Callithrix jacchus: one gene and its partners. The main gene of each other region encodes a partner of the protein of the gene in region 3 in a complex. Links are inferred from orthologs where the notes say so. Each region holds a gene or a part of one and is shown on either strand. Other genes may lie near its edges.

What was found.
Region 1: RBL2 (region 3) and E2F4 share a complex: the UniProt entries of both Homo sapiens proteins name them as parts of the DREAM complex. The link is inferred for Callithrix jacchus from reciprocal best matches to the Homo sapiens genes RBL2 and E2F4.
Region 2: RBL2 (region 3) and LIN52 share a complex: the UniProt entries of both Homo sapiens proteins name them as parts of the DREAM complex. The link is inferred for Callithrix jacchus from reciprocal best matches to the Homo sapiens genes RBL2 and LIN52.

Annotation. Positions count from the first base shown.
Region 1 is NC_133521.1:24,702,915-24,706,663, reverse strand, and holds the start of E2F4 (transcription factor E2F4), read right to left. Parts: upstream 2,446-3,749; 5' UTR 2,399-2,445; coding exon 2,264-2,398; intron 1,837-2,263; coding exon 1,727-1,836; intron 1,587-1,726; coding exon 1,425-1,586; intron 1,134-1,424; coding exon 1,090-1,133; intron 220-1,089; coding exon 158-219; intron 1-157. UniProt on the Homo sapiens protein: Transcription activator that binds DNA cooperatively with DP proteins through the E2 recognition site, 5'-TTTC[CG]CGC-3' found in the promoter region of a number of genes whose products are involved in cell cycle regulation or in DNA replication.
Region 2 is NC_133509.1:109,031,423-109,035,171, reverse strand, and holds the start of LIN52 (protein lin-52 homolog), read right to left. Parts: upstream 2,576-3,749; 5' UTR 2,569-2,575; coding exon 2,538-2,568; intron 1-2,537.
Region 3 is NC_133521.1:11,362,822-11,366,470, reverse strand, and holds part of RBL2 (retinoblastoma-like protein 2), read right to left. Parts: intron 1,610-3,649; coding exon 1,409-1,609; intron 1-1,408. UniProt on the Homo sapiens protein: Key regulator of entry into cell division. Directly involved in heterochromatin formation by maintaining overall chromatin structure and, in particular, that of constitutive heterochromatin by stabilizing histone methylation.

The DNA of each region.
Region 1 (3,749 bases), about 13 Mb from region 3:
AGTCAGGACCACAGTATCCTCTCCCACCCAGGCTGCCCATCCTCCCAGATAACCCCGAACTCCAGGCCTCCCCCTACCTGCCCCACCCGGGACTTATCAGACTCCACAGCCAGCACCCGCCCTCAGCTGACCCCGCCTGCCTAGGCTAAGCACCCACCTCTGGGATGGGCACCTCCAGGCTGGTGCCTGATGGGGCCCGGATGGCCAAGAGGGTATCTCCTAGAATGACAGAGAATGGGTCAGAGCCCATAGGCTAAATCTGAGCTGGGAACAGAGGTGCCTGCCTTTTGGAGCAAGGCAGGAGATCATAGTCTCTGAGGGGCTAGTCAGTGGGTCTCACCAATCCCCTACAGTGGCTGAGCAGAACTAAAGCTCTTCTCTTTCTGAGGGTCAGTAACCAGGAAATCTGAGTTCAAGTATGTGGAGTGAAAGATCACTGGCCACAGGCACCTCACTCCACCAATGGCTGATCCCTAGGTGAAGGTGTTCTAGCCAAGGCCAACATCCCTTTCCCATGACCAGCCTTGGGGATGCAAGATGGAGAAGAAACACATCTGTAGGGCACAGTGGCTCAGGCCTATAATCCCAGCACTTTAGGGGCTCAAGCCAGTTAGACAGCTTGAGCTCAGGAGTTCAAGACCAGCCTGGGCAACATAGCGAGACCTTGTCTCTTTAAAAAAAGAAAAAGGAATAGATCCTGTATTCACAATACAAGTAAATAACAGGTTGGAAGTGGGCACCCCCATACCCTGCATACGAGCACGTAAGAGTCTGCACACAAGCAAATACACACATATCCTCTCTCCCCCTCTTCTCCCTTGTGCCTCTGTCATGCCCAAGAAGCCAAATCCAGGTAACAGTGCATATGGGAACAAACCCAGGGACTCACTCCAAAATTCCTGTACCCTCTCAGTACAGCTGACCTCCACAGGGTCCCAGTGCCCCTCAGACAGAAGACTTACCCTGCCTGGGTCCTCTTTGAGCAGGCCCCAGAAACCCTCTTGAGAGACACTCAAGAGACAGTGTCTCCTGAGACACTGAGCCCAGTGCCCCAGCCCACCCCCTTGTCCCTACCCAGGCTCTGCTCACCAGCAAAGCATCTGCAGATGTCCTCATGAGTGACGTAGGCCAAAGTGTGAGGGTTAAGGAGAATGGCCCTATGGTGACAGACGGCAGACTACAGAGAAGACCCAACTCTTTAGCCAAAGTCTGACACATAGGCCCTCGGAGAAAGTTCTGGGGACTGGGGTCCACCTGGGGAGGGATCACAGGCTAAGACTGGGAAGGGGCTCTGAGGAGGGAGCCTGAGGTTGGGACACGGCTAGGGGCTACAGGACAAGCTCCCAAGAGGGAGAGGGCTCAGGGCAAGTTGAACCAGAGGGCCCCTTGCCCACTCGCCACAGCAGAGACCGTCAGGAGGATATCAGCTGTTCTGCACGTCCTCTGTGACATTCCGGATGCTCTGCTGCACCCACACCTTGTGCTGGTCTAGTTCTTGCTCCCGCTGTTGCAGCTCCTCGATCTCTGCCTTGAGCTCAATCAGCTTGTCGGCAATCTCCCGGGTATTGCAGCCAGGCCCCACACCCCTGAGCCCAGGGAGTGGGGCCAAGAGGAACTGCTGAGAACTCTGGGTCCCACGGCCCCTGCTTTCTTCCACATCCTCCACCCCACACCCCTGACACTTCTGGGTGGGAGACTCTACTACCCTCCCACTATCCCCACTCACTTCCACTGGATGCTGTTCTTGGACTTTTTCTCGATCAGTCCGATACCTTCCAAAACATTGGTAATGTCATAAATCCGCCGCTTCTGGCGTACAGCTAGGGTGTCAGCTGCCTGGCAGACAGAATAGAGAATGATCAGCTCCACTCTCGGGTGTACCCCCAGCCACCCTGAGACGTGGTCTGGGAAGGGAGTAACCTGGGTTCCAACCCTGTAGTGCCTCTCAGGTGCTACTGCAGCTCAGGACCGCAGGGTGAGAAGAGACCTGGCGCACAGCCCTGAACTGGTGTTCTGAAGCTCTTCTCCCAGCCAGCCAGGAAGGGCCACGAGGACAAACACCTGCAGCCCCGAGCCTGGCCCATAGCTGTCGCTCAATGGCCTCGGCTGAATGAATGAAAGATCCCCCGGCCTCTCTCCTGTGAGAAAGCACACGATGGCGGCCAGCTCTCTGAGGACCCGGCCTGGCCGCCCCCGGGGTTCCCGCTACCGGCTCAGGCCTTGTCCACCACCCCGCCTTGTCGTCCCTTAGCCCGGGCCGCACCAGCTTGAGGTCAAGCACGCCATCCTTGGCCTCCTGCAGAAGCGACACGAACTTGGTGGTGAGTAGTCCCAGGCTCTTTTCGTGCCGGCTTGGAGTGCCCGGGGGCGGCGGCGCCTGTGGCCCGGCCTCCGCCATCTCACCCGCCCGCCGCCTCCCCTCAGCCAGGCCAGGCCGGCGCCGCCGCCACTTCCGCTTCCGTTCCTGCCCTCCTAGCCGCCGGAGCCAGAGTCGTTTCTTCCGCTTCCGCCGCATGTCCCTTCTAGGGAACGCGGCGCTATTTTTGTCTGAAGGCGCAGCCGCAAAAGTTTAGGGACCATTAGCAAATGTCCAGCCGCCTAATAAGACGAAAACTACTTAGGTATACCGGGAGTTGAGGATGAAGTTGGGGAGGAATGAGGAGGATGTCAGTTGGCAGCCCTGGCAGTAGAGAAAGGGGCGCCATCGGAACTTTCCTTGCCAATTTGCCCCAACATCACCAACTCTGTGCAGTACCCATCTCGGGAGAGGAGACCACACTACCCAACTAACCCAATCTGTTCCCTCAAACCTGTTCCTTTTTTTTGTTTGTTTTCCTATTTATTTAGAGACGGAGTCTCGCTCTGTCACCAGGCTGGAGTGCAATGGTGCAATATCGACTCACTGCAACCTCCCCTCCCGGGTTCAAGTGATTCTTCTGCCTCAGCCTCCCGAGTAGCTGGTACTATAGGCACGCACCACCAAGCCCAGCTAATTTTTGTTATTTATATATATATATATATTTACATATATGTAATTTACATATATATACGGGTATATCTATAGAGAGAGTTTTTTTTTTTTTTTTTTTGATACGGATCTTCGCTCTCGTCACCCAGGCTGGAGCACAATGGCACAATCTCAGCTCATCGCAACCTCTGCCTTCCGAGTTGAAGCGATTCTCCTGCCTCAGCCTCCCAAGTAGCTAGGTTACAAGCCCACACCACCACACCTGGCTAATTTTGTATTTTTAGTCGAGATGCGATTTCTCCATGTTAGTCAGGCAGGTCTCACTCAAACTCCTGACCTCAGGTGATCCACCCACCTTGGCCTGCCAAAGTGTTTGGATTACAGGCGTGAGCCACCTCGCCCGGCCATTTTGTTATTTTTAACATTGTTGTTTCTTTCAGGTCAGGTTCTCTGGGAAATGGGACTCATTTTGCAGCAAGTTTGTTGGTGATCCACACCTGTTTTTTGAGGTAGGGTCTGAATTTGTTTGTTGCCCAGGCTGGAGGGCAGTGGCAGGATCAATGCAGTCTCAGCTTCCTGGGCTTAAGCAATTCTCCCACCCCAGCCTCCCAAGTAGCTGGGACCACAGGCATGCACCACCACATCTGGCTCGCTTATTTTTAGTTTGCTTTTGTTTTTGTTTTTCAGTCGGAGTCTCTCACTCTGTTGCCCAGGCTGGAATGCAAGGGCACAATCGGCTCACTGCAACCTCCGCCTCCTGGGTTCAAGCAATTCTTCTGTC
Region 2 (3,749 bases), on a different chromosome or scaffold from region 3:
AAAAGAAAATTTAAAAAAAAATCATTGAGGGTAGGATCTATAACCTACACCGGTGACCTTATGATACCACAATCTGGGACAGAACTCTGCTGTGAGTCTTACTCTCACAAATTAAGTAATTAGATGGCTGTATTTGAATTTCAGTTTTCTCCTTTTCAAAGAAGTTCCAGCAAATTTAGCATGAAAAAGACAAAAGAGTAAATAAAAAACATTTTTAAATCAATATTGTTTGAATTAAATTTTAAAGACAGTGACAGGTGGAACACTAAAAATAGAAGTGAGAGAGCTAGGCCATGGAATATTTTAGAATGAGTTACTTATTTAGAAGATGAATTTAATTAAGTTCAAAGTGCTCGACTTGATTTTGTCAGATTAAAAAGAAAAGATTAGGTGGAGAAGAGTGAAACTCTGTAAGAGATAAGAATGAAAACTTAAAAAATAAAGAGTGCAAATAAAGTGACCATAAAGATGGCTAGAAGACCAAAGGAAAAACATACAATGTTTTTAATACTCTTCCTGGCCAAAGAAAGGAAACTAAATTGAGAAGACAGGGGAAAAAATCCAACTCAAGAAACACATCTTTAAAATCCCCCAAATCTGTAAAAACAATTTAAAAATAAACTAAAAAATTTAATAACAATTACCTCTACTTCTATCACTTGGCTTTGTTATTTTAAATTGTGGTGAAATATACATAAATTTGACCATTTTAACAACTTTTAAGTATACAGTTCAGTGGTATTAAGTACATTAATTGTGCAATCATCAGCACATTCATTTCCAGAATGTTTTTCACCTACCTAAACTGAAATTTGGTACCTGTTAACAGTAACTCCCTATTCCCTCGCCTTGCTTTTTAAATGCCCTTCTTTCTGGCAAGAGAAGGACATTTCAGCAAGAGAGCACCCAGGCAGGAGACTCTCTTTTGACTCCAAACATCCATAATTTCTTTTTTGTTGTTGTTGAGACGGGGGTTTCGCTTTGTCACCCAGCCTGGTGCAGTGGCATGAACATGGTTCACTGCAGCCTCCACCCCAGGGCTCAAGAGATTCTCCTGCCTCAGCCCCCCAAGTAGCTGGGATTACAGGTGTGTGGCACCATGCCCAGCTAATTTTTGTATTTTTTTTTTGTAGAGACTGGGCTTCATCATGTTGTCTAGGTTGGTCTTGAACTCCTGAGTTCAGGCAATCTGCCCGCCTCAGCCTCCCAAGATCTTAAAACTTAAGATCAAGTAATATATTATTTCTGCATATATCTAATCAATCTTTCAATAAATGCTAATTAAAGACCTACTGTTCACCAGGCACTGTGCTAAACCCTGGGATCCAACTATAAACAAGACAAACTTGAAATTTATAATCTAGCATAAAAGGGGCAAAGTTAACAGAATTACTATGCTGACAAGGAAGACACTGAGATAATGAATAATGGTGGGGAAGAGCGACTCCAGATCCTGTGTTCTAAGAGACTCTTTGGGAGGTGACATCTAAAAAAAGATCTGAAATTGAAAAAAAAATATTTATATGTTTGAGTAATCTTTTGGAATCTCAAAGCACCTAGCATTATGCGTTTCATGTAGCAGGTACTTAATAAAGCTCACCTTGGCTTCAATTTCCTCATTCCTGTAATGAACTTTCAAGATTCCTTCCAAATACAAAATGTGTTTGTCTAAGGGAGGGAAACCTATATATCAATGAAATCGATATATATAGTTGGGATGGGAACGACAGAAACAAAAATGAGTTTAAAAATGACTGCAAGACCCTAACTCTCTAAAGCAGAACCGAGACCAAAAGCATAGGAATATACCAAGACAACCTAATTGTTACTTGAAATGACTTGCATTTTACAATACATAAACAGAAATCGTTCATTCACTCAGCCTGAAGAAACAACACAAAAAGCAGATGCAAAAGAGGTTGCGACCTGTGCAAGACAACACTTAAAAGCTCAATACTCATTCTCCTCGCGACTCTCACGGTGAGGGGCCGAGAACGTCCCCCGATTATCTTGCTGCCACGGCAGTGGTCCCAAACAAGAGACAGGAGAGAGATCATGTTTCTCTTGCGGTTCAGTATCGAGATGAGGTCAGCCAGCAGCCACTGCTAGAGTTTGTGAGAATCGTTCCATCCCTGCGCTCAATCAGAAGAAAACTGATCCCTCAGTGTGATACTCCAAGGAGGAGACTAGTTTAAGGCACGTCCTTTCCTCCACTAACATCTCCTCCGAGGCTCTCAGCCTCACCCAAATAGAGACAAGGAAGGATCAGGGCAACCCCCTGTCCTTTTACCCAAAGTGAGTCCCTCCCTGGTGCCCTCCTCCACACGCCTGGTACAGAGCGGGGAAACTGGGCACCTCCGGAGCCGCTGTGAAGAACCAGTGAGCTGAAGACGGCGATGGATCTCAAGAAAAAAAGTAAAAGGGAAAGGAGAAGAGCCCAAGAAAGAAATGTATGTTTGAGGGGCAGAGACAGAGTAGACGTTGCCGGTAGAGCAAAGAAGGAGGCTGCAGGCAAAGATCTACAAGCCGGCTCTTACCGTCTGTGGGAGACGCCATCTTCCAACCCATGTCACGTGACATGGCCAACCGTCGGCGGGAAAACGAGGATCCATAAGCCACTCCCCCAAAGAGAAACCCTATCCCCAACTCACAGCCTAGTCTCATTCCCTCGCCTCATAGGGCAACATTTGCCTATCCCCGCCCCTAATTATAGCCACGCCCCTCGCGCAGTTGTTGAGGTGGAGCGACTGCAAAATTCTTGGAGGGTCTTATTTACTTTTCTCGGTGAGAGGGCGGGGCCTCGGTTGCGCCCTTGGCCAATCGGAGTTCCGGGTTAGGGGGCGTCTTCCCCGTGTGCACAGTATGGAGTGTCCAAGTCAGGGGCGTCTTCTCTACCTCCGCCAACAGCATTGGCTGAAGTGGGAGAGGGCGAGACCTTTTTCGCTCCTGACCAATCACTTATTCACAGGACTGGCGTGTGAGGGGCGGAATCAGGTGTTGGTTCGCGTGACTGGCTGGAAAAAATAGTCCTACCCACCAATGAGGAAGCCAGTCAGGATGGAGGGCGAGGCCTGGCAGCTGTAGTGCTTCTGAGCAGTAGAGGCGCAGGGTGCGGAGCTAGGGAGGCCGAGAGCCATGGCGGCGGTGGTGGCGGCGGCGGCAGTGCGAGCCCGGATCCTGCAGGCGAGTGAGGGTGGTGCCAAGGGACCATGAAGCCAGGACTTAGATCTTTTCCGTCCACTCCGTGAACCATCCTCGGGCGGGACCACCTTTTTGGCCCAGCCCCTTTTTGGCCGGACCTCGTGTTCCTACGCGACCTGTGCGGCCCTGTCCCATGCGCAGCTCTCACTTCATACCCTACCTCGTCCCGGATCCCACCCGAGCTGTTACTCTTGGCCTTACACCCTTTTACTCCTGAGCCTCCTCTTTTCTGGCTCTCGCCCACTCTCCTCCAGCCCTGCCCGGTCCCTGCTGTCACTCTCTTGCCCTCACCACTCCATCCGTCCACCGTCTTTCCTTTTCACCTCTGCACCAGCCTTCTCTCTCTCCCCCGAGAACTACTCTTTTTGATTACTCTTTCCCTGCCGTGAGCGTCCACGTTGCCATTGCTCCCTTTCCCCACCCTACTTCACTTTCCTTGATCCGAGGTAAGGGGGAGAGGGGATGTGAGGGGAGAGGGTAAGTGTATGAACTTTGAATCTCCTTCTAGACGTGTACTCCAGGTATTCACCAAAGGCAGCCATTTGCAA
Region 3 (3,649 bases):
GAACAGATGCTTCTGTATCAGTGGTGCCAACTATATTAAAATGTAAATAGTTTCAGCTTTTTTTTTTTTTTTTTTTACGTTTTTCCACCTGCTTTGGCATTCCCCCATTTTATTTTTAAAAGGTTACATTTATTGTAAACATCCTTCACAGTCTGGGAAAACTTTTATATTTAAAGAGCGGCAAACATTATTTATTCTAGCCAAATAATTTTAACTCCTTTCCCCTTGCTTTTCTTGTCAACACTTTTCTAGTTGTTAGAATTTTCATTTCTAATAAGTTTATGAAAAAACTTTCATTTCTGACTTTATGAAAAAACTTCCAATGATAAAGAAGGAAAATATAACTGCCTTTATCCATCAGTAACAGTAGTAAACACTGAGCCAGAGTTTGCTTATAGACTTTGCAGAACTGAGTCTTTCTGAAGCACACCTTCATAATAGTTTCAGTTCTCCTGTCTTTTCCCAATCCAGTCTCTCTATTCTTGATTCACTATAAACATCAAAATACAGAAGTTATTTCAAGGGGATTATTTATTACTCACTTTGACATAAAAGTAAAATAGTCTATATAGTCACTAGTAGAAAATATAGTGGTTGGCTGCGTGCAGTGGCTCACGCCTGTAATTCCAGCACTTTAGGAGGCCGAGACGAGTGCATCACAAGGTAAGGAGTTCAAGACCAGCCTGGCCAAGACGGTGAAACCCTGTCTCTACTAAAAATACAAAAATTAACCAGGCATGGTGTGTGCACCTGTAATCTCAGCTACTCAGGAGGCTGAGGCAGGGAATTGCTTGAACCTGGGAGACAGAGATTGCAGTTAGCCGAGATTGTGCCCCTTCACTCCAGCCTGGGCAACAGAGCAAGACTCTGTTTCAAAAAAAAAAAAAAAGAAAAGAAAATATAGTGGTCAACACAGCGATCTATATCTAGGGCTGACATTTTGTCAGCACATGTACTAAAATTAGAATGATACAGAGATTCCCATGGCCCCTGTACAATAAATAAAATATATATCTAGATACAGATATAGATATATCTCCAGGGCAGCTAAAGGGTGAAAATCCCTGACATCTGACTTGCGCAGTCTGCATTTTTTGTTGTTTAAATGAAAAAGGAAGGTTTCAGAACACGGATCACAAGGATCACTGAGGAAAAAATAATTATAAAATAAAATAAGAAAAAGGAAAATTTATAATAACAAAGACACCTATACTTTTAGCAATATGAAAAAAGCCAAACTCGTAATGGCTAACCCACAATGAAAAGCAAAAAAGTATTATTAAAAGAAAACTATTGGAAAAAAGATCATTTAAATAGTATTTTTTTAAACTAGCAAACAAATTAGCAAAATATCAAAACTGCAGCAGTGATGAATGTGTACTCCCGACGAACAAACATGAAAACCTACCGCTGCTTCCTTCCTCGCTGCTGACGAGGTTGCTCCTCTTGAGGGTATTTAAAAATGTCCTGAAAAATGGGTTCATATTTCTTAAAAATTACAGCAGAAACCGTGAAGTTTCTTTCTAATCTCTCAGTACGTTCTCTGAAATGTGGGGGTAGATTTGCCATGTCTTCCCATTTCTTCATTTTATTAAAAAATTCGATTAAGCTGGTATTAAAGATAAAAAATAAGACATTTCATAATTACATAAAGGTAAAGTATATAAAAGCAAGTTTTCAAAAGTAAATCAATATTATTTCATTAAAGCATATTACTTTTAGACAGTGAAATAAAATCACAACTCATGTCTCTGACTAGCTTCATTTCTTACAGATTGGTATATTCCTCTGATCCTCCCAATCATTTTTTTAGGTTACCTAAAGTATTTGTTAATTATGAATTTGAAAATACAAACCAAAATTAACAAGAGTATCATAACCAACATTCACATTGGTTCACTGCCAGATGTTTTAAATGTTAACATGGTAAATAAATTTTGTCATTTTTGCTTCAGTTTTTTTGTAAGAGATAGGGTTTTACTCTGTCACCCATGTTGGAGTTCAGTGGCAAGATCACAGCTGACTGCAGACACCTGGGCTTGTGTGATCCTCCTACCCTGAATTCCCAGAACACTGTGATTACAGGTGTGAGCCACCTCCCCTGGCCACTTCAGATTTTTTCTGAAAACCAGAAACACTATAGAACAGCCAAGGCCAGGCATGGTGGCTCACACCTGTAATACCAACACTTTGGGAGGCCGAGGCGGGGGAATCATAAGGTCAGGAATTCGAGACCAGCCTGGCCAACATGGTGAAACCTTGTCTCTACTGAAAATACAAAAAATTAGCTGAGCGTGGTGGCAGGCACCTGTAATCCCAACTACTTGGGAGTCTGAGGCAGGACAATTGCTTGAACCTGGGAGGCAGAGGTTGCAGTGAGCCAAGATCTCGCCACTGCACTCCAGCCCGGGTGACAGTGCAAGACTCCCTCTCAAAAAAAGAAAAGGAAAAAAAAGCCTAAATTCCCATTTTATACTCCTCCCCAATCCCACCCCCACCTTTCTTTCCCAAAGATAAACACCATTCCAAAATTGGTCTTAATCCTTCCCAGGTTTTCATACTTACTACACATATACATGTACGCATAAACAATAAGCAACATCTTATTACTTATTACACATTTTTACATTTTATATAAATGGTATACTTCAGTGGTATTCTGAATCTTGCTTTTTCACACTTAGTTTCTGATATTAATGTTGATACATAAGATATATTCCCTTTAATTGCTAAAAACATTATTTCATATGAACACACAATGACTTTTTGCATTCACTCCCCAATCATGGAAATTTAGGTTGTTTCTAATTTTCCGTGATAACAAAAAAACTATTGTAATGAAATCATCCTTATACATGTGTGCAGGAGTTCCTTTAGAAGTTACTCCAAGAAGAGGAGTCAGAGAATGTGTACCTTCAATGATACTAGATACCACCAAATTTCCTAATTAAGTAGTTAAGCCAATTTTTATTCTCACCAATGTACACTAGCAATATAAAGTTCCTGGCTAAGCATGGTGGCTCATGCCTGTAATCCCAGAACTTTGGGAGGCTGAGGCAGGCGGATCAATTGAGGTCAAGAGTTCAAGACCAGCCTGGCTAACATGGTGAAACCCAGTCTCTACAAAAAATACAAAAATTAGCCAGGTGTAGTGGTGTGCACCCATAGTCCTAGCTACCCTGTGAGGCTGAGGCATGAGAATCACTTGCACCGAGGAAGCAGAAGTTGCAGTGAGTAGAGATCGAGCCACCGTACTCCAGTCTCGGCAGCAAAGTGAGACTCCATCTCAAAAAAAAAAAAAAAATGAACTGAAAAATAAAAAAAATAGAGTTCCTATTTCCCTGCACAGTGACCAAGCTTGGTATTACCAGATTTCAAATTTTCCCAATGATAAGAATGAAATGTTGGCCAGGCACGGTGGCTCACACTTCTATTCCCAGCACTTTGGGAGGTCAATGGGGGTGAACCATCTGAGCTCAGGAATTTGAGACCAACCCGGCCAACATGGTAAAACCCTGTTCTCTACTAAAAATACAAAAAAATTGGGGAGTGGGCCCCGCTGCTCAGGCTGGGTCCTCACCCTCCTTAAAAAAAAAAAAAAAAAAATTAGCCGAGTGTGGTGGTTTGTGCCTATAATCCCAGCTACGTG